4 linked regions of the Macaca mulatta genome follow. The protein of the gene in region 1 binds, or shares a complex with, the protein of each later gene. Links are inferred from orthologs where the notes say so. Each region holds a gene or a part of one and is shown in the gene's direction. Other genes may lie near its edges.

The links. Proteins that work in one complex are often made in the same cells at the same time.
Region 2: CHD5 (region 1) and MTA3 share a complex: the UniProt entries of both Homo sapiens proteins name them as parts of the nucleosome remodeling and deacetylase (NuRD) repressor complex. The link is inferred for Macaca mulatta from reciprocal best matches to the Homo sapiens genes CHD5 and MTA3.
Region 3: CHD5 (region 1) and MTA2 share a complex: the UniProt entries of both Homo sapiens proteins name them as parts of the nucleosome remodeling and deacetylase (NuRD) repressor complex. The link is inferred for Macaca mulatta from reciprocal best matches to the Homo sapiens genes CHD5 and MTA2.
Region 4: CHD5 (region 1) and CDK2AP1 share a complex: the UniProt entries of both Homo sapiens proteins name them as parts of the nucleosome remodeling and deacetylase (NuRD) repressor complex. The link is inferred for Macaca mulatta from reciprocal best matches to the Homo sapiens genes CHD5 and CDK2AP1.

The regions. Positions count from the first base shown.
Region 1 is NC_133406.1:234,647,806-234,653,270, forward strand, and holds part of CHD5 (chromodomain-helicase-DNA-binding protein 5), read left to right. Parts: intron 1-625; coding exon 626-792; intron 793-963; coding exon 964-1,185; intron 1,186-3,146; coding exon 3,147-3,353; intron 3,354-3,564; coding exon 3,565-3,776; intron 3,777-5,465. UniProt on the Homo sapiens protein: ATP-dependent chromatin-remodeling factor that binds DNA through histones and regulates gene transcription. May specifically recognize and bind trimethylated 'Lys-27' (H3K27me3) and non-methylated 'Lys-4' of histone H3.
Region 2 is NC_133418.1:82,261,093-82,267,162, reverse strand, and holds the start of MTA3 (metastasis-associated protein MTA3), read left to right. Parts: upstream 1-2,135; 5' UTR 2,136-2,145; coding exon 2,146-2,173; intron 2,174-2,497; exon of another isoform or gene 2,498-2,837; intron 2,838-3,846; coding exon 3,847-3,914; intron 3,915-6,070. UniProt on the Homo sapiens protein: Acts as a component of the histone deacetylase NuRD complex which participates in the remodeling of chromatin.
Region 3 is NC_133419.1:11,463,462-11,469,625, forward strand, and holds the start of MTA2 (metastasis-associated protein MTA2), read left to right. Parts: upstream 1-2,229; 5' UTR 2,230-2,507; coding exon 2,508-2,535; intron 2,536-2,653; exon of another isoform or gene 2,654-2,936; intron 2,937-3,271; coding exon 3,272-3,339; intron 3,340-3,707; coding exon 3,708-3,801; intron 3,802-5,317; coding exon 5,318-5,435; intron 5,436-5,566; coding exon 5,567-5,630; intron 5,631-5,815; coding exon 5,816-5,933; intron 5,934-6,164. Other genes in the region: EML3 (echinoderm microtubule-associated protein-like 3), read left to right, coding at 1-41, 169-256, 714-812, 1,080-1,210, 1,291-1,494. UniProt on the Homo sapiens protein: May function as a transcriptional coregulator. Acts as a component of the histone deacetylase NuRD complex which participates in the remodeling of chromatin.
Region 4 is NC_133416.1:130,671,751-130,677,650, reverse strand, and holds the start of CDK2AP1 (cyclin-dependent kinase 2-associated protein 1), read left to right. Parts: upstream 1-1,965; 5' UTR 1,966-2,032; coding exon 2,033-2,141; intron 2,142-2,922; exon of another isoform or gene 2,923-3,076; intron 3,077-3,966; coding exon 3,967-4,061; intron 4,062-5,900. UniProt on the Homo sapiens protein: Inhibitor of cyclin-dependent kinase CDK2. Also acts as a component of the histone deacetylase NuRD complex which participates in the remodeling of chromatin.

The DNA.
Region 1 (5,465 bases):
GTCCATCCATTATCCATCCATTTGTTCATCCATCCATCCATCCATACATCTGTCCGTTCATCATCCATCCATTTGTCCATTCATCATCCATCCATTTGTCTATTCATCATTCATCATCCATCCATCCATTTGTCCATTCATCATCCATCTCTCCATCCGTCTATCCATTTGTCCATCCATCCATCTGTTCATCTATGAGTCCATCCATCCATCCATCCATTTGTCCATTCATCATCCATTGCTCCATCCATCCATTTGTTCATCTATCAGTCCATCCATCCATCCATCCATCCATCCATCCATCCATCTTGTTCATCCATCGTCCATCCATCCATTTGTCCATCCATTCATCCATCCATCCATTTGTCCATTCATCCATCTATCCATTCATCTTTCTACCCATCCACCCACTCTCTTACCCTTCCTTCCTTCCTTCTTTCCTTTTATCCATCTTCTATCTCCTTACCCTTTTACAACCTCAACCGTCAGTCCACTCATCCACCCACCTATCCACCCACCATCTATTATGCATCTACTCTGTGGCTGTCTGGCCTGGGGCGGTGCAGTTGGTTGTGTTCTGGGAGTGCGGATGAGGCCTTCCATGACTGCCTCTCCCCTACCTTAGTTGATGATGGTGACGGCTATGAGACAGACCACCAGGATTACTGTGAGGTGTGCCAGCAAGGTGGGGAGATCATCCTGTGCGACACCTGCCCGAGGGCCTACCATCTCGTGTGCCTGGACCCAGAGCTGGAGAAGGCTCCCGAGGGCAAGTGGAGCTGCCCCCATTGTGTAAGCCTTGGCAGAGCCCCGGGCTGGGAGCGGGGCCACGCCTGGCTCCCCCACCCCTGTGCCCTCATTTGGGGGCAGAATGCGGGGAAATGCTGTGGGGGAGGGAGGGAGTCAGGCCCTGGTGGAGCGGGGACCCCGCCCAGGGTGCCTCCACCTGGCCTCCTCCCCCAGGAGAAGGAGGGGATCCAGTGGGAGCCAAAGGACGACGACGACGAAGAGGAGGAGGGCGGCTGCGAGGAGGAGGAGGATGATCACATGGAGTTCTGCCGCGTGTGCAAGGACGGGGGCGAGCTGCTCTGCTGCGATGCCTGCCCCTCCTCCTACCACCTGCATTGCCTCAACCCGCCACTGCCCGAGATCCCAAACGGTGAATGGCTCTGCCCGCGCTGTACTGTGAGTGTTCCGCCCGCCCCGCGCCGGACGCCCCGCCCCACCCCAGGAACAGGCCCCGCCCCCAGGGGAAGGCCTGCCCTCCTCAAAAGGCCCCGCCCCTGCCGGCTCCGGACCCGCCTCGGTAGCTGATCCCGCAAAGCTCCGCCCGCGCCGCTCGAGGCCACGCCCACTCTAGCTTCCCCAAATCCCGCTCCGTGTCTGACACCCCTAGAGACGGGAGGCATGAGTGTTAGGGAAAGGCAGGCAGGTCTGTGGTGATCATGCCAATACCACGACCACTGTTCAGTGACCACGTGCTCTGCAAGGGCTCCACGTCCATCATAGTATCCTTTAACATTACTGAGTATTCTGGCACCACGTATTTTGTTATTTCCTTTTCAGATGAGAAAACTGAGGCTCAGGGAAGCAGAATGACCTGCCTAAGGCCACACAAGGGCCAAACTGTCCCTCAGATTCAGGTCCCTGGAGCCACCCCAGACCTGGCTCCTGTTCCGAGGCTGGGGATAGGGAGAGGGTAGGAGGGTCCTAGGGCCAGAGCATCAGTTTCTGCAGGAAGAGAGGCACCCCCATCCCTCATCCCCCAATCACAGTAGACATGAGAAGGCCCCTTGCTCTGAGCTGTCTGCCCTGCGCCCCGCGGTGCCAGATCCCCCACCCCTCAGGTCCTGGGCTGTGCTGCCTTTAGCCCTGGGCCGTCCCGTGTGCATGTGGGCTTGTGCTGTGTGTGTGTGTGTGTGTGTGCGTGCATCCGCGCGCATACTTGTCTGTGTCTGTGTCGGGGTCAGGGAAGGACCCTTTTGAGGGGTGCAGCCTCCTGTGCTTTCCTAGGATTCATGGAAGGCCCTGGGGATGGGAGGGAGGCAGGAGTGGAGTTCCTCTCAGCTTCTTCCCTGAGAAGTTGGGATGCGGTGGGAGGGTCCCCTCTTCCACTCCCCCCAGAGCCAGCGGAGGAGCCTTTCCTACCTCCCGTGTCCTCCTCCTCCTCTGCCTCTTGGCCTTTGCTGTCACCAAGGCCAAAAGAAGGCTGGCTATGTGGTATACCTTGCACCTCTAGAATGCCTTCAGGTGTGATGTGGCACCACAAACCTGGTAGGTGGAGGAAGGGGTGGGCCATTTTACAGATGGGAAAGCAGGCTCAGTAGGCTTGGACAAGTTTCCGAGGACAGGTAGTAGCAGAGCTGGGACCTGCTGTCCCCAACCGAGCTGTCTCCCTGAATCAGTCACCCCTGACCCTGTCCAGCCAGGCTCAGCACCGCCTCCTTGGAGGGCCAAGGCTGCTCCCACCCATCTCAGGGCCCAGGTGGTGGGGTTTGTGGCGGTTGCATTTCTCGCCTTTGCCAGCCAGCAGCTCATTGTCACCGTAGCATCGGTCAGGGCCCGTGCAGTGTGTCTGTGGGCTGCCAGAAATGGGGCCTCATTGTCCCAGCCTAGATGCACAGTGCTTGGGTGCAGCCCTGCCCCAGGTGAGGGATGGCGGATTGGAGGCTGCCATGTCCCTGAGCTCCAGCATGGGGCTCATGCTCCCTGGGTGCTTGGGGGTCACACAATGATGTGACCTCTTTTCAGGGTACAATGGGAAGACCTAAGGTAGGGGAAGTCCAGAACTTCATATTCTGCTCCCTGCTCTGCTGTCCCTTGCCGAGTGGGCCTCAGTTTCCCCCTCTGTCGTGTGCATATGGCAGTCTTACCTACCCTGGCTCAGATATTCTGGGTGCCGATGAGTTTACCACTGAGTGAAAGGGCCACGTGGTCTCCCAGACCCCCATTGCCCGTCTCCTGTGTGCATGACCCATGCGGCTCCTGAGGACGGGGTGGATGTCATGGCGTCACGGTGGTGCTGTTCTGACTTGGGGACAGTGGCACTGATGGGAGGGAGCCTGCGTGGCAGCCTGCTGTCATGGGAGCCTCAGGGTGGGGCCCTGCAGCTGAGCCCCACCTTGGGGACCCTTCTCTGTCCACAGTGTCCCCCACTGAAGGGCAAAGTCCAGAGGATTCTACACTGGAGGTGGACGGAGCCCCCTGCCCCCTTCATGGTGGGGCTGCCTGGGCCTGACGTGGAGCCCAGCCTCCCTCCACCCAAGCCCCTGGAGGGCATCCCTGAGAGAGAGTTCTTTGTCAAGTGGGCAGGGCTGTCCTACTGGCACTGCTCCTGGGTGAAGGAGCTACAGGTGAGTGCCCAGCAGGGTGGCTGTGCCAAGGCTCAGGACCTGGTGAGCCCTGGACCCTCCCGGGCTGGCGGGAAGGGGCTGAAGCGCCTCTGACTGAGGGGTGCTGTTGGGAGTTGGGGTGGTGCTGGCCTGGGGCTAGGGGAGCTGGGTAGGGAGACGCAGAGGGCCATGGCTCATCCCCCTTCTGTGGCTCGTGCCCGTCTGTGAGCAGCTGGAGCTGTACCACACGGTGATGTATCGCAACTACCAAAGAAAGAATGACATGGATGAGCCGCCCCCCTTTGACTACGGCTCTGGGGATGAGGATGGCAAGAGCGAGAAGAGGAAGAACAAGGACCCCCTCTATGCCAAGATGGAGGAGCGCTTCTACCGCTATGGCATCAAGCCAGAGTGGATGATGATTCACCGAATCCTGAACCATAGGTGTGTGCCTGCAGCTGGCTACCCTCCCTGCCCATCACTGGGGCTGGGCCGCATCAGCTACTTTGCTCTGTAAAATGGTGCAGGGCAGGGCACCAGGGCCCTTGCCTTGGGGCTGCTGTGCAGGACCACATGTGGGCACAGCAGGGGCATAAGGAAGGGGCCTAGGGCTCCCAGTGCTGGAGATCTGCCTGATCTGCTGGAGGGGCCGTCCCATGCATGCCTGCACACTCATGCACACGTGTTCACACCCTTGGGGGTTCGGGACCCTCGTGCTGGGTTAGTGCTTGATACCAGCAGGAGGGGTCTGAGGATGCGGGAGGCCCGAGGTGTGGGGGTATGTCCGCATTTCCCCCACGTTTGTAATAGTAGCTGGCTGTACTGAGCACCGCCTACCCTGGGAGAGAGGTGTCTTTCTTTTACCTCTGTTTTACTGATGTGAGAATAGGCACAGCAAGGTTAAGTCACTTGCCAGAATCACACAGCCACGGAGTGGAGCTGGGATTTGAACCCCATGCTTTCTGACTGCAGGACCTACTTTCTTAGCCACTGTTGCACCCCCCAGTGCCCCAGCAGCAGCTCTTCCTGGAGCAGTCTGGCAATTCCCTGGGATGCCTTAGCAATCAGAGGTTGCAGGAGGCTGGGACAAAGAGCCGGAGGCAGGAGGCCCGTGGGCTTTGGTTTTGATTTGGTGGGTGATGGGAACTCCTGCCGATTCTTGAGTTTAGGGGCTTGAGAACTGGTGGTGGCTGACAGATGGGCCTTGGGGTGGGGCCCAGAGTACCTGCTGTGTGGTGGCAGCTTGGAGCTTATGCTCCCCAACCTGGCTACCCTGTGGCCTCTGCCTTTGAGGGGCTTAGGATCGGTGGCCTCTGCCACTCAGTGCTTCTGGCTTCAGGCAGCTGTTGGGTAGAGCAGAGGTTAAGAGCCTGAAATGTTCAGATTTCAGTCCTGGCTCCCAACTGCTGGGCGTTGAGGCCCTTGTAGGGAACAGACTGCTGCACAGGTGACCGGAGCTTGCCAGAGGCTGGCTGTGGGCGGTCTTCAGAAGGAGGGGCGCGGAACTTGAAAAAGCTGCCCCTTCAACTATGGGACACCCACGTTTTTCCTCTCCAGACCTTCCTGAGAATGACCTTCAAGGGTCAGTTTCTGTGGGAACCTAATTCCCGGCAATGAATTGGCCTATGGTTTTCTACCTTTACTAAATTGCATGCTAAAAATATACATGGTAGTTCTTCTCTCTGCTCCAAAGTGGGACAGGTGAAGCTCCCCTGGATTTATTCCCCCAGTCTGCAAAACAATCAATTATGTGTTGGAAAACAAACAAACATCAGTTTCTGTGGTAACTGGGGATTGGTCTTTCTCTTTATGGCCCCCAGGCCCGCAGCAGCCGCTGCCCACCGGGTCTGTGTGCCTCCTCGCGCTGCTGTGTGGGGTAGCCATGCCCCGGCCCGGCCCTGCAGCACTCCTCTGGCCTGGTTGCCTTAGCCTGGGCAGGTGGGAGGCCCTGAGGACCCTCCCAGTGGCCAGAATCAAGCTGTGTGCTGCTGGGCTTGGCCACTGGGTCCTTGTGTCCCCGGAAGAGACCGCCTCACATGCAGGAATTGCGTCCTTATCTACTTTGCAGAGACGGCTCCTCACCCTGCATGGCCACTGCACAAGTCCTTCCCGTATTTTAAGTTAGAAAACTGA
Region 2 (6,070 bases), on another chromosome or scaffold:
GTTTTCTTGGCATCTTTCACCATTTATTGTGGTTAGCACAGTCATCAGAAACACCTGGCAAGAGCACTAAGCTGGGGAAATGAGACAGGCACACAATGAAATAACAAAAACAGGGCAAGATTTTGAAGGAGGAGAAATTGCTTATGAAAAATTAATGGGAAAACACCCTAAAGCTTGTGATCCACTTCTATGCACTTTATGGTTTCTAGATGGTCTTTGCACTTGGAGAAAGACTGTGGTTCAGAACATTCTAGGCCAGAGAAAAGGGCTGATTTATAATCCCAATATTGCTGCCAGTTTACTGTGTGATTCCAGGTGAATTATTGAACCTATTTATGTGTCAGCTCAGAAATGGAGTGATGTCAGTTTTGTCAGAATGTTTTTGGTGGGATCTCTGGTAAATGTTGAATGACAGCTATGCAATGTGCAGAACAGAACACTTTTGCTTTCTTCTCTGGGTCAGAATTTGACACATGGCTCAGAATTTGACACACAGCAGAGAACCCTTGGGAATCTGTGGTTTCCTGGGGTTAAAAAGAAAGCAAGAGACACCTGTTATTTGCACGGTGCTCTGTGTTCCCTGGTTTAAAAAGCACTTTCAGATATCATCACAACTGATCCTTACCACACCTGTGAAGGGGGAATTCGCGTTCCCATTTTATAGACGAGGAAACAGGTCATAGAGTCAATGTAATTCAATGGTGCTTTCTTTTTTATTTTTATATTTTGCCTCAGCTACGCATAACTTTTTTTTCACCTCAATACTCTGTGATAAGGGACCATCACAAATGTTATCACCAAACAACCGAAACACAACCTTCTTTTCTGGGGGCACCTCTTAGCCCCGCACAGATGTCAAACCCAGAGTCGACAGCACACAGCTGTGTATCACCAGACATTCCAAACAAGCCACCACACCAAGAAATCCTCTTCGTGTTTATTATGCACCAATGTCTGGGAGTACTTTGGAATGGACTGGCTTCTCTAAAGAAAGTTATTTGTGTTCGTTTGGGGGATAGCCAGCTAAGATTCAACGTTGTTGGTTTTTTTTTGTTTTGTTTCTGTGAGAGTAGGAAGGCCGTGAAAACAGAGGTTGTTTAGAGAATTGGCTTGGGACAATAATCATTTAGAAGCTTTAGGCACATAACCAGCTAAGTGTCCATCCATATCAAGCTGATTGAACAGAATCTCCTCTTTTTGGGGGTGGTGATTGTGAACTGTAGGGCCCTGTTCCCCCATGGACAAAGGAAGCCCCCCACTCCTAAAGGTCCCAGCAGAACAGGCCCTGCATATATAGGGCCTGTCTAGAGCCAGGGCCTCCATCTGGGTGTTGGAGAGTTGGTTCTGCTCAGCCCAGTTTTGGGGTGAACGATGATGCAGTTAGGGTAGCCTAGGAAGGGAGTTTTTCAACCTCTGTCCCCAGCCGGGTCTCTGGCGAGGCGGGAAGCACCCAGGGTCTTCCTGGCCCTAGAGCCTGCAGGCTCCAGGCCGGCCCCTTGGATCTCACCACGAGGAAGGCACCCTGCTGCCTGTACTTATTTGCGTCCAAGAGTTTGCATTGAGATTGGCGCTCGCCTACCAGGTCAGCCCCAGGGGGGGTCCCCAGGGACAGAGGTAGGAAAGGAGGACCTGTCTCGGGGTGGACAGGTGACGGGGTACACTGGGTGGGGCAAGAGGTGCTGGGGAGAGGCTGAGCCCCAGCCCCCACTCTAATTCTCTAACTGCCCCTGGTCCGCATTTGAGCGCAGGCCTCTGCCTCGGCCAGGACCCTGGCTCCAGGGCCCTCCACTTCCAGCGAGGCCCCCCACCCTCCCTCCCACTCTCCTTCCCCTCCCCCTCCCCCTCCCCCTCCCCCTCCCCCCCAATTCCCGCTGGTCCCGCAGCGCTCGGGCCTCCCCGGGCCTCCCCCGGCCCGGCCCACTAGGCTTCGCTAGCCTGGCGCTGGGGGCGGGCACCAGCCCCCACCCCTCGGCGTCCCCTCCCCTTCACTTCCCCCTCCCCCTGTCCCCTCCCTTCCCTCCCTTCCCCCCCGTGGCGAGGCAGCAGCGGAGGCGGCGGCGGCAGCGGCGGTCGAGGCTGAGGCTGAGGAGGTGGCGGCGGCGGCGGGCGGGGCTCGGCTCGGGCTCCGCGGGCGGGCGGGCGGACATGGCGGCCAACATGTACCGGGTCGGAGGTAGGCAGGCTCAGCCCGACCCGGCCCGTGTGGGAGCGGGCTCCGGGACCGGGGGGCCGGGGCGAGCGCACGCCAACTGCCGGGAGCCACTGGCGCCGGGGCTGAGGTCGCAGGGGGCGGGGGCGCCGGGGCCCGCAGAGGGGCCAGGACTCCCCACCCCCACCCCACCCCTCCCCTCCCCCCACGGGGGCTCGCGAGGGGCCGGGGCCACCTTCACCCTCGCACCCCGCCAGGTGTTTAGGGCCAGGCCTCTACTTGGGGGTACGAATTACCAGACACCTCCCTCCACGAAACCCTCATGGTGGTGGGGCCCGTCGAGCCCCCTGAGAAGGTGGCCTTCTCGCGTGGCTTCTAGGCGCTGGAGAGGATGAGGGGACATCCCCTCCCCTGCTTCTTCCCCACTCAGTGGGAGCCTGGGGTGGGGGTGGGGGCGGTGGGGGCCCAGCCAGGGGCCCAGCTGGACAGGCCTGTTTGCGGGCCTGCACCTTGCCGGGGCCCTGCACCTCGCCTTCCTCGGCCCCCCTCCTTTCGTTTCTGGTCCAGCCCCCCACGAATGGGGCTTCGTGGGACCTGGGAACCTCAGCCGGAGGTGGGGAGTTGAGCTCTGCCTGGACGTTTGCTCTGCTGCCTGCCTCCTTCCCAGTCTGCGGAAGAGAGAAATAAGGTCAAACAAACTTTCTCCCTACTCACGACGCCCTCCTCCCTCTTTCCTGGTAAAATAATAATTCAGATAAGTGGCGTGTTTGTATGAGAGACTGGCTCTTCCTTCTCCGCTCATTAGCTGAGCTTCTGATGGATGGTGGTGGGAATGGCCTGGCTAAATGAGGCCACTTTGCAGAAGACAGCGGCGAAAGAGCCACTAAGATAGACAATAACAATGCAGCTGCCTTTGAGATAAACACACAGTGGGAAGTTTCCAGCGAGCCTATCAGATGAGAGGAAAAGCCACACTTGAAAAATGTTATCTTTTTAGTTGAAAGCCTGCAGCAATTTCTTAATCACAAGACATTAAATGGATCTGGATTAAATATGGTAAAAGGGTAAAAAAGATGGTGATATCACCCCCAGGGCACTTTGCCTCTTATAATTGATCCCCCTGACCCGCTTTTTCCCTCATCTTCCCAGGTAGAGCTGTGGAAAAGTTTGTTAGTGTTCTTCCTCTTACCTGTTCTGCTCATCTGATTTTTTTTTTTTTTTTTTTTTTTTTTAAGTAGCGATTGAAATGTAGGTTGGACTGTGAAGCCTTTCTCCATGCTCTGAATGTGTCTTAGGTCAATAGTTTTATGTGAGAAGCAGCCTCCAGGGCAAATTGTATTGGAGGAAAAAGATGTGGAAGTAGTTATAGTACAGAGGACACATGTTTAGTGTGCCCCGACTACCCAGTGATAAGAGGTGTCTTTTTTGTTTATTATTAAAGAAATGACATATTGGGACAGAAGTCTAGGAGAAACTGATGAAACATTAATTGAAATGAAAATGCCAAGAAAATAAAGGTCCGTGAATAGTAGGCACATGAGAGAATATATTAAGGCTGCATTATTATGTTTGCTTTTACCAGTGAATGAATTATGAGCTTAATTTCAAACGTGAATTGCCTAACATAAAAAGTCTTGGATTGACAAATCTGAACTTTCTGTTGAAAATATTAAGTTCTGTACTTCCTTTAATTACAGATTATGTCTACTTTGAGAATTCCTCCAGCAACCCATACCTAATAAGAAGGATAGAAGAACTCAACAAGGTATATACACTGAGTGTTCTTAATTTTAATTTAAAAAATATTTATTTTCCCTTAACGGGTAATTAGGTAAAGGGTGGCCTGGTGCGGAGGCTCATGCCTGCAATCCCAGTAAATTGGGAGGCCTGGTGGGTGGTTTGAGACCAGCCTGTGCAACATAGTGAGACCCCATCTCTATTTTTTTTTTTTTTTTTTTTTTTTTTTTTTGAGACGGAGTCTCGCTCTGTCACCCAGGCTGGAGTGCAGTGGCCGGATCTCAGCTCACTGCAAGCTCCGCTTCCCGGGTTCACGCCATTATCCGGCCTCAGCCTCCCGAGTAGCTGGGACTACAGGCGCCCGCCACCTCGCCCGGCTAGTTTTTTGTTTTGTATTTCTTAATAGAGACGGGGTTTCACCGTGTTAGCCAGGATGGTCTCGATCTCCTGACCTCGTGATCCGCCCGTCTCGGCCTCCCAAAGTGCTGGGATTACAGGCTTGAGCCACCGCGCCCGGCCTATTTTTTTTTTTTAATTAATATAAAAAATAAAAATAGGGCTGGGCACGGTGGCTCATGCCTGTAATCTCAGCACTTTGGGAGGCCGAGGTGGTAGGATCACCGGAGGTCAGGAGTTCGAGAACAGCCTGACCAACATGGAGAAACCCCGTCTCTGCTAAAAATACAAAAAAATTAGCCGGGCATGGTGGCACATGCCTATAATCCCAGCCACTTGGGAGGCTGAGGCAGGAGAATCGCTTGAACCCAGGAGGCGGAGGTTGTGGTAAGCCAAGATCGTACCATTGCACTCGAGCCTGGGCAACGAGTGAAATTCCATCTCAAAAAAAAGAAATAATAATAATAAATAAAAATGAATGGGGTAAAGGGCATAAGAGATGGTTTTACTTTCAGTCCCAGACTCTTTGAAAGTTGAGATTTTAGGCCGGGCATGGTGGCTAATGCCTGTAATCCCAGCAATTTGGGAGGCCAAGGCAGGTGGATCACTTGAGGTCAGGAGTTCAAGACCAGCCTGGCCAACATGGTGAAACCCCGTTTCTACCAAAAAAGTACAAAAAAATTAGCTAGGCATGGTAGCATGCACCTGTAATCCCAGCTACTCAGGAGGCTGAGGCAGGAGAATCGCTTGGACCTGGGAGGCAGAGGTTGCAGTAAGCCGAGATCACCCCATTGCACTCCAGCCTGGGTGACAGAGCGAAATACTGTCTCCAAAAAAAAAAAAAAAAGAAAGTTGAGATTTTAGAGAGTTATGCAGGATTCTGAATTCCGACTATGCTTTTGCTTTTTAGTTACTGAATATTTAAAAGTCTGCAGATATTTTCAAATTGCTTAGAGCCTCTGAAAGAGCAGTTGACTTATGTAACTCAGACCCTTTTTATGTTTAGAGTCATAATGTGTATTTTTCTCTTTTTAGTGAATTAATATTTTCCTCTTCCAGGTTGAGAAAGAGGAAGCTAGGGAACATAATATTGAAAGGAATTGGCTGGCGGGTGCAGTGGCTCACACCTGTAATCCCAGCCACTTTGAGAGACCGAGGCGGGTGGATCACCTGAGGTCGGGAGTTCGAGACCAGCCTGACCAACTTGGAGAAACCCCATCTCTACTAAAAATACAAAATTAGCCTAGTGTGTTGGTGCCTGCCTGTAATCCCAGCTACTCGGGAGGCTGAGGCAGGAGAATTGCTTGAACCTGGGAGGTGTAGGTTGCGGTAGGCCAAGATCACACCATTGCCCTCCAGCCTGGGCAACAAGAGTGAAACTCCTTAAAAAAAAAAAAATTTGAAGGGAATTTGTAAAATTCTGGACTAGGCTAAATTGTCTGTGGTAGCTCACACCTGTAATCCCAACGTTTTGGAAAGCTGAGACCTCAGGATCCTTTGAGTCCAGGAGTTCAAGACTAGCCTGGGTAACACAGGGAAACCCTATCTCTACCAAAAAAAATAGCCGGGTATGATGGCACATGCCTGTAGTCCCAGTTACTTGGGAGGCTGAGGAAGATTGCTTGGGCCCAGGAGGTCAAGGCTGCAGTGAGCTGTGATTGCATCACTGCGTTCCAGCCTGGGTAACAGAGACTGTCTCAAAAAAAAGAATATGGTTTTGGTATAATAAATATAAAGTAGCTTTGTACCTTTGGCCCAGTTAAAATGTTTACATTAAGGTTTGTCTGT
Region 3 (6,164 bases), on another chromosome or scaffold:
CCAGTGATGGTGCCAAATCCAGCCGCTTTGGCCGCTGTATGGTGAGGAAGTTGGGGCGTGTGGTGGGGCATGATAACAGCTGGGAAACTCAGGGGTCTGATGCATCAAGGGGGCTCTGGGGATGGGAAATGGATGGGATACTTTAAAACTCTTGACCTTTGCTCCCAGGGTCACTCCAGCTTCATCACTCATCTTGACTGGTCCAAGGATGGGAATTTCATCATGTCCAATTCTGGGGACTATGAGATTCTTTACTGTGAGTGGCAGTGGAGCAGGACATGGGGAGAGGGTAATTGGAGTGGGTTTTATGTAGGGGGGTCTTAGAGGTGTTGTCAGATAAGGGAGTGGAGATAGGGTTAAAGTGGAGTTGGAATTATACATAGAAATTTTGTGATTTGGAAACAACGAGTTTCACACCATGTCTTGTTGACTTGAGGGAGCTGAAAAATGCTCTAAGAAGTTTCTCAGGGCAAGCGTGAAGGACTTGACTTATCTAGGGAGGAGGAACTCATGGAAGCTGTTAGAACTTCAGCCAGTGCTCAGGACAGGACGCACGCAGGGTGGGTTTCACAGGGGGAGGAGGTCACTACTACAGTGACCAGATCACATGCCATCGCTGGGTTTCATGCCAGTCTTTCCAATCTGGCTTTTCCTGGCATCTTCCCTACTGAGGGCAGCGTGAGAGCTGAGCTGGGCGGGCTCCCTCTCCCCAGGGGACGTGGCTGGAGGCTGCAAGCAGCTGAAGAATCGCTATGAGAGCCGAGACCGGGAATGGGCTACCTACACCTGTGTGCTGGGTTTCCACGTCTACGGTGAGCAGGGGCGTGGAACCCTGCTGGAGGGGTGGGGGACAAGGTGGAGCCCAGTTTGGGCTCGGAACGCTGGGCGTGTGTCATTGGGTGAGAGTCCAGAAACCTGAAGATCCAGCCCAGGAGGCCCCTCCGGCCCTCGGGACCGGGAAGGCTTTCCTGGAACGCGACAGTGGGTGGCTGCGGCTGCCGGAGCGCCTGAAACGGTGTAGCTCTGGGCCGTGGGTGGCGGTGGGTAGGAGGTCGGGCTGAGGCCGGCCACTGTGCTAGGCGTGTGGCCGGACGGCTCCGATGGGACCGACATCAACTCCCTGTGCCGCTCCCACAACGAGCGCGTGGTGGCGGTGGCCGACGACTTCTGCAAAGTGCATCTATTCCAGTACCCGTGCGCTCGTGCCAAGGTGAGGCCGCGGGGGCCGCCGGGGTGGGACGGGTGGGCCCGAGGGCTCCGCCGCCACTGCAAGTCTTCCCTCCCGCCCAGGCGCCGAGCCGCATGTACGGGGGCCACGGCAGCCACGTGACCAGCGTCCGGTTCACGCACGACGACTCGCACCTTGTCTCGCTGGGCGGCAAGGACGCCAGCATCTTCCAGTGGCGAGTGCTGGGCGCTGGGGGCGCGGGGCCGGCGCCTGCCACGCCCTCTCGAACCCCCTCCCTGTCCCCCGCCTCCTCCCTCGACGTTTGATCGCTGCCGGCGGGACCTACTGGCCTGGCGGCGTGGCCCCGCCCCGCTCTGCCCCGCCCTAATCCCCCACGACCAGGGGCCGACTCTTTCCTCGACTGACTTCGAAACATTCCCGACGGTGCATTTCCCTGGAGGGCGCGAGCGGCGCCCCTGCACACACTGTTTAGACCCGCTGGTTGAGCCGGGCAGCCCCAACCTAGGCCTTGACTCCCGCTGCCTGCTGAGGGGCAATAAACCAGAACCAAAGTCGCCTCCCGGTGCTTTTGTGGGGCGCTGCTGGGTGCCTCCGGGGCCCTGTGGGGTGGGGACGAAGGAAAAGAGGCGTGCGGAAAGGGCAAGGGAGCGTAGACCATTTATGCAAATAACAGGCAAAGCCGCTTGCAAATAACCTGGCGAAGCGCTAAGGCGCGCGAGTCTTCGGGGCGGGAGGAGGAGTTGCAGGGCTCCAGCTAGGACAGAGTTAAGCCCCACTCCTCTCCCGCCCTCGGAAAAAGGGGTGGGGGGGGTGCCGAGCTGCAACGGAAATAGCCGAGCGATTGGCCGACAGGAGCCGAACTTCTTCCGGAAGTAGCCGATCTGCGGGGTCTCGCTCTCCGACCTGAGCCGAGCAGTGGGCCTTGTTCTCCGGATCGGCCGAAGGTGTTACGGAAGGAGGCGAACCCTGAGGCGGGCCGGGCAAGCCTTCCCTGCGGCCGGCAGAGCTCAACGACTAGTGGGACTCGGCGGGGGTGGGGGCAGCTGCAGCCTGGCAGGAGCCGAGCTCGTTCCGGAAGAAGCCGAGCGGACCGGGGCCAGCCTCAGCGTCCCGGGAGTGAGGCGATAGCTGCGGCGGCGACAGCGCGGGCCGGGATGAACCGCGACGGCTGAGGCAGCGGAGGTGACGGCTGCGCGGGCCCCAGTGAGACTCCCTCGAAGCGCCAGCCCACCGTTCAGGGCTTTGCCTCTAGCCGAGCCCTGCCCCCGCGAGCCTCCCGGACCCCTTTGTGCGGCCGGAGGCGGCGGCGGGAACGGCCATGGCGGCCAACATGTACCGGGTGGGAGGTGAGTACCGGGCGCAGGGGTACAGGGTCCGGGGCGGGAGAGGTTGTGGTCGGGACCGGAGGGGCTCGGCACCGGGTGGCGCGAGGCGCAGCGTATGGGGCGGCATGGACCGGAGCGCGGACCGGAACCGGAACCGGGAGACGAGGAGCTAGGGTGCGGGAAACCGCGACGCGGCAGGGCGCCGAGACTCCTGGAGAGAAGCTGCGGGCAGCCCCGACGGCACTTTCAGGGCTGCGTCGGGGGCTCCTCGGGGCACGGAGTGGGCTTCGGAAACCGGTTCCGAAGGAGCTGACAGGGTGGGGAGGGAACGCGAGGGGCTGGGGCGACGGCTTTGCCACCGCGGAGGAGCCGCCCGGAGGTTTCCTCTTCCCAGGCGTTATTGTGCGCCTCAGTTCGAAAAGGTGGGGGCCCTGCGCTAGAGCGAACAATTACTTCGCCGCGACTGAGGTGCAACTCGTTGCTGAGTTGTGGGGACTGCAGGGGAATCCCTGCTTCTTGCCTGTTCCTTAAGGCTCACTTTTGAGTAATGGATCTGATTTTAGAACTAGGTGCGGTGGGGGTGGGGGACATCCTTATTTTCTCTTAGTCTTTACACTTTCACATCTCAGCGCGCTCTCTGCCTGAATCCTTATCTTCTTTTGATCCACTCAGGCCAACTTTCTCTCCTACTCTGGTGCTCTGCGTCTCTCCCATCTCCTCTGATCTTCGTGGTTCTCCCCCCTCCCTTCCCTTACAGATTACGTCTATTTTGAGAACTCCTCCAGCAATCCTTACCTGGTTAGACGGATTGAGGAACTCAACAAGGTGAGTGGAGCAGAATCTCTCTCCCTCCCTCCCCCAGTGGTCTCTTCTGAGGTTTCTAACTTCGGGTGGAAGAGAGGACCCTATACTAAGTACCCATTCATATTCATTCATTCATTCATTGGATGTATTCAGGAAAGGCTATTGAGAGCTTAGCAGGAACTTTACTATTCTGTCTCTTGGGGGCAAAGGAAAGGGATTTGGAAGTCTGTCCTTGAATGTAAGTGTTTACTCATATTTTCTTGGGCTTTTTAATTTAGGTCCCTCTGAAACTTACTGTTATTTGTCTCTTTGTGTATTTCTGTTCCCAGATGATCAATTTTCACTGCTACGTTGTTTTGTTTCTGTTTTTGTTTTTTTCCTCCCCTTAGACTGCAAATGGAAATGTGGAGGCAAAGGTCGTCTGTCTTTTCCGGCGCAGGGACATTTCTAGTAGCCTCAACAGCTTGGCTGATAGTAATGCCAGTGAGTATCTTCATCCCTTTCTTTTCCCCCTCCCCATGATCTGAGGCCTGCGCATGTCCCTGCAGGTATTTCCCCTGGTAGCATGCCCAAGGCAGAGGTGTGAGTTTGAGGGTGGGAAATGCCTGGCCTGAGGAGGGAGACCTGTTTTTACACGTTGGGGTTGGAAGCAGGGTGGAGAGATTGTGATATGGTTTGTGTATGAGAGTAGGAGAGAGACGATAAGGTTGATTTAGGGGATGAAGACGGGGTTTAGAGAAACAGAATGCTTTTCTAAAGGGGGGCAGTTTGGGGTACACTGGGACAGTAGGTGGTGACTGAAGGTCAAGGTGAAGAGGAAGAGATTGTACTGAGAAGCCCGCATAACAGAAGCAGCCTTATTTTGTAATCACAAGGTGGTGAGAATACCTGGAAGTTAGAAGATGGCTGGAAGTTTTCTTGCACTTTTTAATTTCTCACCTTGCCCATTTCCCCACCTGCCACCCCCCATTTTACATCTTTCCCTTTTCATTTTGCTCTATTTTCATCCTCTTTAAGGTCTCATTTTCTTTTTTTAAAAAAAAATATTTTCCTTAGCTGCTTTTTCCTTTCCTGCTTTGGTTTTCTTTTTCCTTCCTTTTGTTCCACCTTTCTAAATCATTTTCCTTTTTCAGACTGCTCTGGGTGAGAAGGGGTTAAAGAGGAGCCTGGCTAACCAAGTTCCCTGGCCCTTTAGGGTTTCCAGCCCCATCTGGCAGGGGCTGACCTTGGCCTTGTCCAATCAGAAGGGGTGTTGGGGGTGTGGTCCCCCTTGCCTTAGCACAGGGTTTCCGGAGCACACAAGCGAGGGGTGGAGCCTACTGAACAACCCCCCCTTCTCCCTGAGGTTGGGAACAATGCACCAATGAGCCTGGGCCTGAGGCTTTTCTGCCCCCTCCCACTTTGGTTGGCGCCTAGCCAGATTAACCCCTTCCACTAGGTTTCAGGGCAAGCTGCAGCTCTTTCAGGAGGAAGATGTTGGCACTAGCTTGAGAGGTGTTGTCCTTGAAAACCCTAGGAACTATTATTAGCCAAGTAGAGAATGAGGGATAGTTAGGGCTGCATGTGATGTTTTAGTGCAAAGAGTCTCCTGAAATTGAAAAGAACTGGTAAACACAGTCTTGTGTGATTTTTTTTTTCATCTTACTGGGTTGCTGGACCTCAGGCTGGTTTAGCAAGAGACAAATGTAATGTTCTTGCTGGCCTGTTGTGGACTTTGGTGTCTGAGCATTGGCAGCTGGGTAGCGATGTATGTCTACAGCATTCTTCGTACTCTCAGCAGTTCTTCCCTAAGAGCATTACTGATAGAGTTGGGAGCATCCATGATGGGGTATACAGCTAAGAAGGAAAGCTGGTAGGATAAAGGCATAGAAGGCAGACACCTGGGAAATGTGACAAAAAAACAGCCAAGATAGCAAATATTTTCCCTGAGTTAGAGTTTCCAGGGTGGTGTCTTGCTGGATCCATTTCTGACTTGGTTTCTTCCTCCTTAATCTCCCAGGGGAGTTTGAAGAGGAATCAAAGCAGCCAGGGGTGTCTGAGCAGCAGCGCCATCAACTGAAGCACCGGGAACTTTTTCTTTCTCGGCAATTTGAATCATTACCAGCCACCCACATAAGGTACAGGACAACTGGGGCCAGAATAGCCTGCATGCACTTACGTAGAAGATGGAGAGAAGGAGGTGGTCTTCAGAGATGCTGTGGGGAGGGAGAGTGGGGCTCACCGGGGTTTTCCGATCTGTCTTCTATAGGGGGAAATGCAGTGTGACCCTCTTGAATGAGACAGATATCTTGAGCCAGTACCTGGAAAAGGAGGTGAGAAAGAGATGTTGAGAGAAGAGGGAGGGGAATGGGTATTGCTCACAAAAGGGAGGGGGAAAGGAGGACAATGAAAAGGTACCGGGTTGCCAGACTGCCGGTCATGGAAACTCAGATACACCTCCCTCCCTGCCGCCTATGTGGATTGCTGCCCTGCTTACCTTGTCTCTCCCCAACTCCAGGACTGCTTTTTTTACTCACTGGTGTTTGACCCTGTGCAGAAGACACTTCTAGCTGATCAGGGCGAGATTAGAGTTGGTTGCAAATATCAAGCTGAGATCCCAGATCGCTTGGCAGAGGGTAAGCAACAGGACAAGACTGTATGGCTACCAAGTTATCTAATTCTAAGGGGCACTTTAATTTTTTTTATTTTTTTTTGAGATGGGGTCTTGCTCTGCTGCCCAGGTTGGAGGGTAATGGTGTGATCTCAGCTCACTGCAAGCTCCGCCTCACGGGTTCATGCCATTCTTCTGTCTCAGCCTCCCGAGTAGCTGGGACTATAGGCTCCCGCCACAACGCCTGGCTAATTTT
Region 4 (5,900 bases), on another chromosome or scaffold:
CTTGTTCTCGTCTCCTTTTTCCTCCCGCTTCTGGGCGGCTCGGCGAGGGCCCCTGCCGGCGGGAGTCGGGAGCGGCCCGGGCCGCGCCGGGAGCGGGGCGCGGGGCCCCGCCGCCCTGGGGAGCGGGGTCGTGGAGCGGCCCGGGCGGGAGACGCTGCGGGCAGGGCCAGGCCCCGCGCGGGCCGGCGCGGGCGGAGGGCTGCGGGGCTGCCGCGGGCCCTGAGGTCGCGGGGCCGCCGGGACTGGGACCGGGATGGGGTCGCCGGTGGGCAGCGGACTCGGAGGCCGGGGGGCCTCGGCCGGGCGCGTGGGAGCAGGGACTGCCCCATGCGGTCACGCGGGGATCCCCGTAAGGTGTGCGCGGAGTGAACGAAGTTGGCGCAGTCCTGGGGCTGCTAGGGCCCGCGCGCGGGCGTGGGGGCAGGGGGTCACGCGGACGCCCCATCTGGGAGCCCCCAGGGCTGATCCGGGAAGGCCCTCGATGCAGAAGCCGGGAGGGGCTCCCCTCGACCTTCCTGGGGCTGCGGCGGCAGCCGGGCGCTCCCAGGAAACTCCTCCAGAAGTTGTCAGGCAGCTTCGGGCTGAGCCCAGGGGACCGAGGGAGCCATGGGGAGTGGGCGCAACATTGAGGGATTGGTAGGTGCCGGGCTTTGTGACCTCACTGGGGCCCCTCTTCTCTGACACTTGGTCGGAAACAGACTTCCCAAAAGGCGGTTGTGTTGCGGGGCGTGGGGGGTAAGGACTCGGAGGGAAAGGAGTGGCCCCGTTGGTCACCGGTGCCACGCTGGCTCTCCTGCTCGAGTTTTGGGCCTTGTTTGCAAACGTTGACTTCATAAACCTCCCACATCCGAAGTAGGACCCATAAAAACGATATTTAAAAAAACCTTGGACACTGAGGTGTAGGGGCAGGAAAGGGTTAATCGTCAGGGTGCTGAGGGAGAGTTGAATTGCTCACTTGTGGGCTCGGAGTCCCAAAGAGCAAACAGCCACTGTTTTCTTCTCAAACATTCTCACCTCCTCTGGGGTCCGCAGACCTTACAAAGACGGGCTTTGTTGCCAGGTAGGACTGCCAGCAGCGTTCTTCCTCTGGCCTGTGGGGAGGGCAGGGGCTGGTGTTGCCAGCCTGGGCAAGGCTGACAGCTCAGGCTTGACCTGGTGTCATTGGGGCCGGGGCCTTAAACTGGGACCTTCAGGGTTTGGGGTCACAGGGATAGCGGCACTCACGGGGACCCCTGAAGTCCTGTTCTGAGCTGGCTGCACCTGTATTCAGCTTTTCTTCTCTTTCTTCTGTGGAGAATTTCAGGAGTGCCGAGATCCCCAGATCTGGGCTTTTTGGTGCCCCTCCCTCTCCCCCATGGACCCTTTTGCAGAACCCCAGCTCCCCTCCTGCCATTTGCATCCAAGATGGACTCTCCGCTGCTGCCGCTGCTCCTCCGGCTTCCTTGTCATCATCCCTCACGCCCTGCAGCCCTGCCTCCTGCTCACGGGTTGCCAAGCCGCGGCCTGGCCGGTGGTGGCAGTGGCGGAGTTAGACAAAGCCCCCGCCTCCCCCGCCCCAGAGCCCCCCAGGCGCCCCAAGTGGCGGGAAGGCCGCCAGCTCCCCAGGCCCCGGCGCTCTTTGTCTGGCGTGGGGGCGGGGAGCCGCGCCTGGCCCCAGGAGCTTCCTGGCCTCTGCCAACCCCTCGCTCCTGCACACTGCGCTCATTGTCTGAGATGCGCCGAGACGGCCTGCGCTGACGTGGTCCCTGTGTCCCGGTCCCTGTGTCTGCAGGAAGGAGTGACCATGAGTGGAACTCGGGGCATTTCCGCCATCTCTCTCCAGGACTAGACACCCCCCACTCAACCCTGAACAAGGGACTGGCCTGGACAGAGCATTGGAGTCACCGAGCTATTGCTCCTTGTCCCCCCAGCCAAAATGGGACAATTTCTCATTCCTCCTTCCTCTCAGCCCCGCAAAACCTAACCCCAGTATCATCAAATAGTAGGGTCTGGAGCCTGTAGACCTTCTCTTGGGAAGCACTGCCTCTAACAAATGGAGAAACTGAGGACTGGAGGGCGGGGGGCCTGTCTGAGGTCACACAGCCAGGAGTGGCACAGCTGGGGCTGGCGCCAAGTCCAGTGGGGAGGACAGAAAAGGAGAGGTGAGGAGCAGTGGGCAAAGCAGTTGGGGAAGAGGACGGGGGCACACCGAGTTGATTCGAGGGTGCGTGGGAAGTGGCTAGCGCCCCTCCTGCCAGGCTGCTGGGATCTTGCAAACACCCAGGGTGCTGTGCTCTATGGTCCCTCCCAGAGACTGGCCCTCGAGGCCAGAGAGGTGTAGCTACCAGGATCGAAACCCAGGTCTCTGCCAGCAGAGCCTGTGTTCCCCATGCCACGCTTGCTGCCACATCAGAAGCTCAGGAAACTGGGGTTTGGCTGATGTGGTGAGGGGGCGCTGGGGGACATCGCCCTGCCCAATTCCTGCAGTGGCCGTGGACGTGCCGGATATCGCGGGCGTAGTGCTTCCCCATCCCAAGCCGCCCATCCCTGTAGCACACGTGTCTCGTCATCCCCATGTGGGAGGCATGGAAACTGAGGCTCGGAGTGGCATGGTGCTTTGCCCAGTTCAGGATCCAAGTCCACGTTTCCAGGTCCAGCCCAAGCTGGAGCATAACCCTGGGCTGCAGTGGTGGCATCCAGGGCTGGCCTGAGACTCAGGGAGACAACTCGGGACTGTCCCCGCTCCCGGATGCTCCTGGACAGAGGGGCAGGTGCTGAGGTAGCTGGCTCCCTGCATGGAGGGGCAGGTGCTATGCTGTGTGCCCTGGGGCAACTCCCTCAGGTCCATGTCTCTAAATAGAGGGGCCTGGAGCCAGGGTTCTCCAGGGCTCCTCCCGGCTCCCCCAGCCTGAGGCCCTGAACTTCCTTCCTCCTCTGCCCCTCCCCTCACCCACACCAAGTGAGCAGCTGGTGGGTTTGGCCAGCCTGGCACCAGCTGTCCATCCCCGAGGCCAAGTCTGCAGCGCCCGCTGTGTGTGTGAGAGAGAGACCGTGTGGCTCTGGGGGCGGCAGGCGGGCAGCTGCCGAGGAGGACTAGGTAAATTCTCCATGGTTACCGCTGTTTGTCATTCTGCAGGATATCCTTTACCCGCTAATGGCCACTGGGACGCCATTGCGGGGCCGCGTGCTCCCAGCCTCAGACTCCCCTCCCAGATCCAGGAGGCTGCGTTCTGGGCTGGGCCCTGCTTGGTCACTGACTGCAGCCCTGGACAGGCCCCAATGTTGCATCCCATATGTGGGGCCTCAACCCTCCTCTCTTGGAATGCAGAGCCGTTGGGACATAGACTGCCAAGAGTCTGGTCCCCCTTTGGGGAGGGGGAGACAGGCACAGAGAGGTTGAGGGGCTTTATCTGGGGCACACAGAGGCCGTGGTGTTCTCTAGATTCCTAATTTGATGTCCAGCATGCCTGTCTCCAGCCAGGGTTGGGTCTCAAATACTCTAAGGCCTTCCCATCTTCCCCGTCATTGAGCACAGCAGAGATTTCGGTGCATAGGACAAAAAGGCTTGGAAGCTCCGCTGGTTTGGACCAGCCTCCATGGCAGTGGGCTCTTGTGGTATGATGTGGCCTCTAGGTTTTCATCCTCTGGGGCCAGGACACAGGGAGAGGGGATGGGCAGGGATGAGGCCAGGAGTGGCAGTAATTTTATCTTTGGGAGCAGCCCTGCTGCTTGGAAGGTTCTGGTTGGACAGGACGGAGCTCTGTGAGGACCAGCAGCTGCTACAGAGCTGGGGATGGCCGAGTGCCTTGTAGCTACATTTCATTATCCGTCTTCTACACTGGTCAGACTAGAGGTGGAGAGCAGGGTTCTCTATCCTGCTACAGTTGGTGGTGTGGGTCCTGGGCAAGGGCCATTGCAGGACCTGGAGTCCTTGCCTTGGTACAACTGGCTGAGCTGACTCCTGGCCTCTCTCTCCCCACCCCACAGCTGGGAGTGTCCACTCTCCTTCCACCAGCATGGCGTCTTCACAGTACCGCCAGCTGCTCAGTGACTACGGGCCACCATCCCTAGGCTACACCCAGGTATGGCAATGGGGGTGATGGCATGGTGGGAGGGCTGGGGGGAGACATGCTCCCCACCATCAGAGGAGAGAAGCTGGTGGAAGAGACGAAGGAGCAGAAAGTATGGGACAGAGCTTTCTCAGCCCAAGGCCCTGACTGGGCTCCGGCTCAGAACACATCAGAATGGAGGGCACTGGGGACTGTGTTTCGCAGGGACGTGTGAGGTGGAGCGGACAGGAGAGCACCAGGAAGGGGCAGCAGCCCGAGCTGCGCTGCGGCCCCCACCCCACGCGCTCCTCTGGTGGGTCTCCTCACTTCTCTTTCCTGGGCAAGTGAGGCCTGGCCTTGACCCTGGCTCTCCAAGCTGGGACAGAAAACGGCCGGTTCCCACTTGCTCTCCACGGGCGTGGGCCCAGCAGAGAGGAGGTGGCCTTGTCTCGAGAGCCAAGGTGCCTCTTGTTGAGGGCCAGTGTTTGAGAGTGTGGCCCAGGCGAGGCCGCTGCCTGGTTCCACCACTTTCCAGACTGTGACCCCCACTTGGTAACTGCCCAAGACCTGGGCTCCTCATCAGCCCAAGGGTGATCCTAGTACCCCCAGCCCAGGCTGGGGAACAGCAGGAATGGGGTAGCCACCATGTCAGCTGCACCCCACATCTCCAAGGGATGAGCTGCCCTGTCGAAGGTCCCAGCGGGAAGATGCTCTCCCTGGCTGGGCCCCAGTGCCAGTGTTCTGAGGTCGCCACGGAGCCTGTTCCTTGCCGAGTGGGCGGCTCCCCAGCCATGCCCCGCCAAGCCGTCCTGCCCCAGAAGGAGAAGCAGGTGCGGGCCCGTGAGCGGGACCAGCTGAAGAAGCGGTGGCTGCGGGAGGCCAGGCAGAGGCGCAGCCGGGAGTGGCAGTGCCACATTCTGGCCATGCGACGGCGGCGCCGAGACAGGCAGGAGGCCCGTGAGGCCTGGAGGCAGTGCCGTGGGGAGGCAGAGCAGCTGGACCAAGATGAGGACAGGAGGACAGAGCGCAAGGCCAGGGGACAGAGGCGGCGGTGGAGGAGGGAGGAGGCGAGGACCTTGCCCAGGGAGCTGGTGCAGCTCTGGGAGGAGGCAGCCAAGGGGAGGTGGTCTGGGCTTGCGGGCTTGCCGGGAGCCCAGCCTCGCTGATCCGGGTGCTTGCTGTGGGGCTCCCAGTGGTGGTGGGAGGAAAGGGTTTCTGGGGGGTGGGCCCTGTGGGTGGGAGGATGAGAGAAGGGAATGCATTCCAGGCTCTGGCGGGGCCATGGCCGATGGCTGTGGTCCTGGTGGCCCAGGTGCGGCCTCTGTCTCCCCACTGGCTTGGAGGCTCGGCACCTGCGATGTGCCCTCCTACTCATCTGCATCCTGGGAAATGCTGTTTGGACTCTTTTGTGCCAAGATGAGCTGGTTCCCCTGTTTTGTTCATTGGAGATGATACACTTGCTTCCTGGAGGCGACTGGGTGGTCTTCCTGAGTGTGTGAGGATAGAAGGGTGAGGACCATCCCCCTAACCTGTAGTTGTCCCCTAGAATGGGACGTGCCTTGGCCCAGCTGAGGTGGCTACCCCAGGAGTCTAAGGCTGGACTGCGTTCCCTCCTCTGACCGGCCCAGGGGCCTCTCCACCCACCTGCCTGTGGCCTTGGGGTCAGGCTGCTGAACCCCTTTTTTTTTTTTTTTTGAGATGTTGAGATGGAGTCTTGCTCTGTCGCCCAGGCTGGAGTGCAGTGGAGCGATCTTGGCTCACTACAACCTCTGCCTCATGGGTCCGGTCCAAGCAGTTCTCCTGCCTCAGCCTCCTGAGTAACTGGGACTACAGGTGCCCACCAACATGCCCAGCTAATTTTGCTGAACCAAT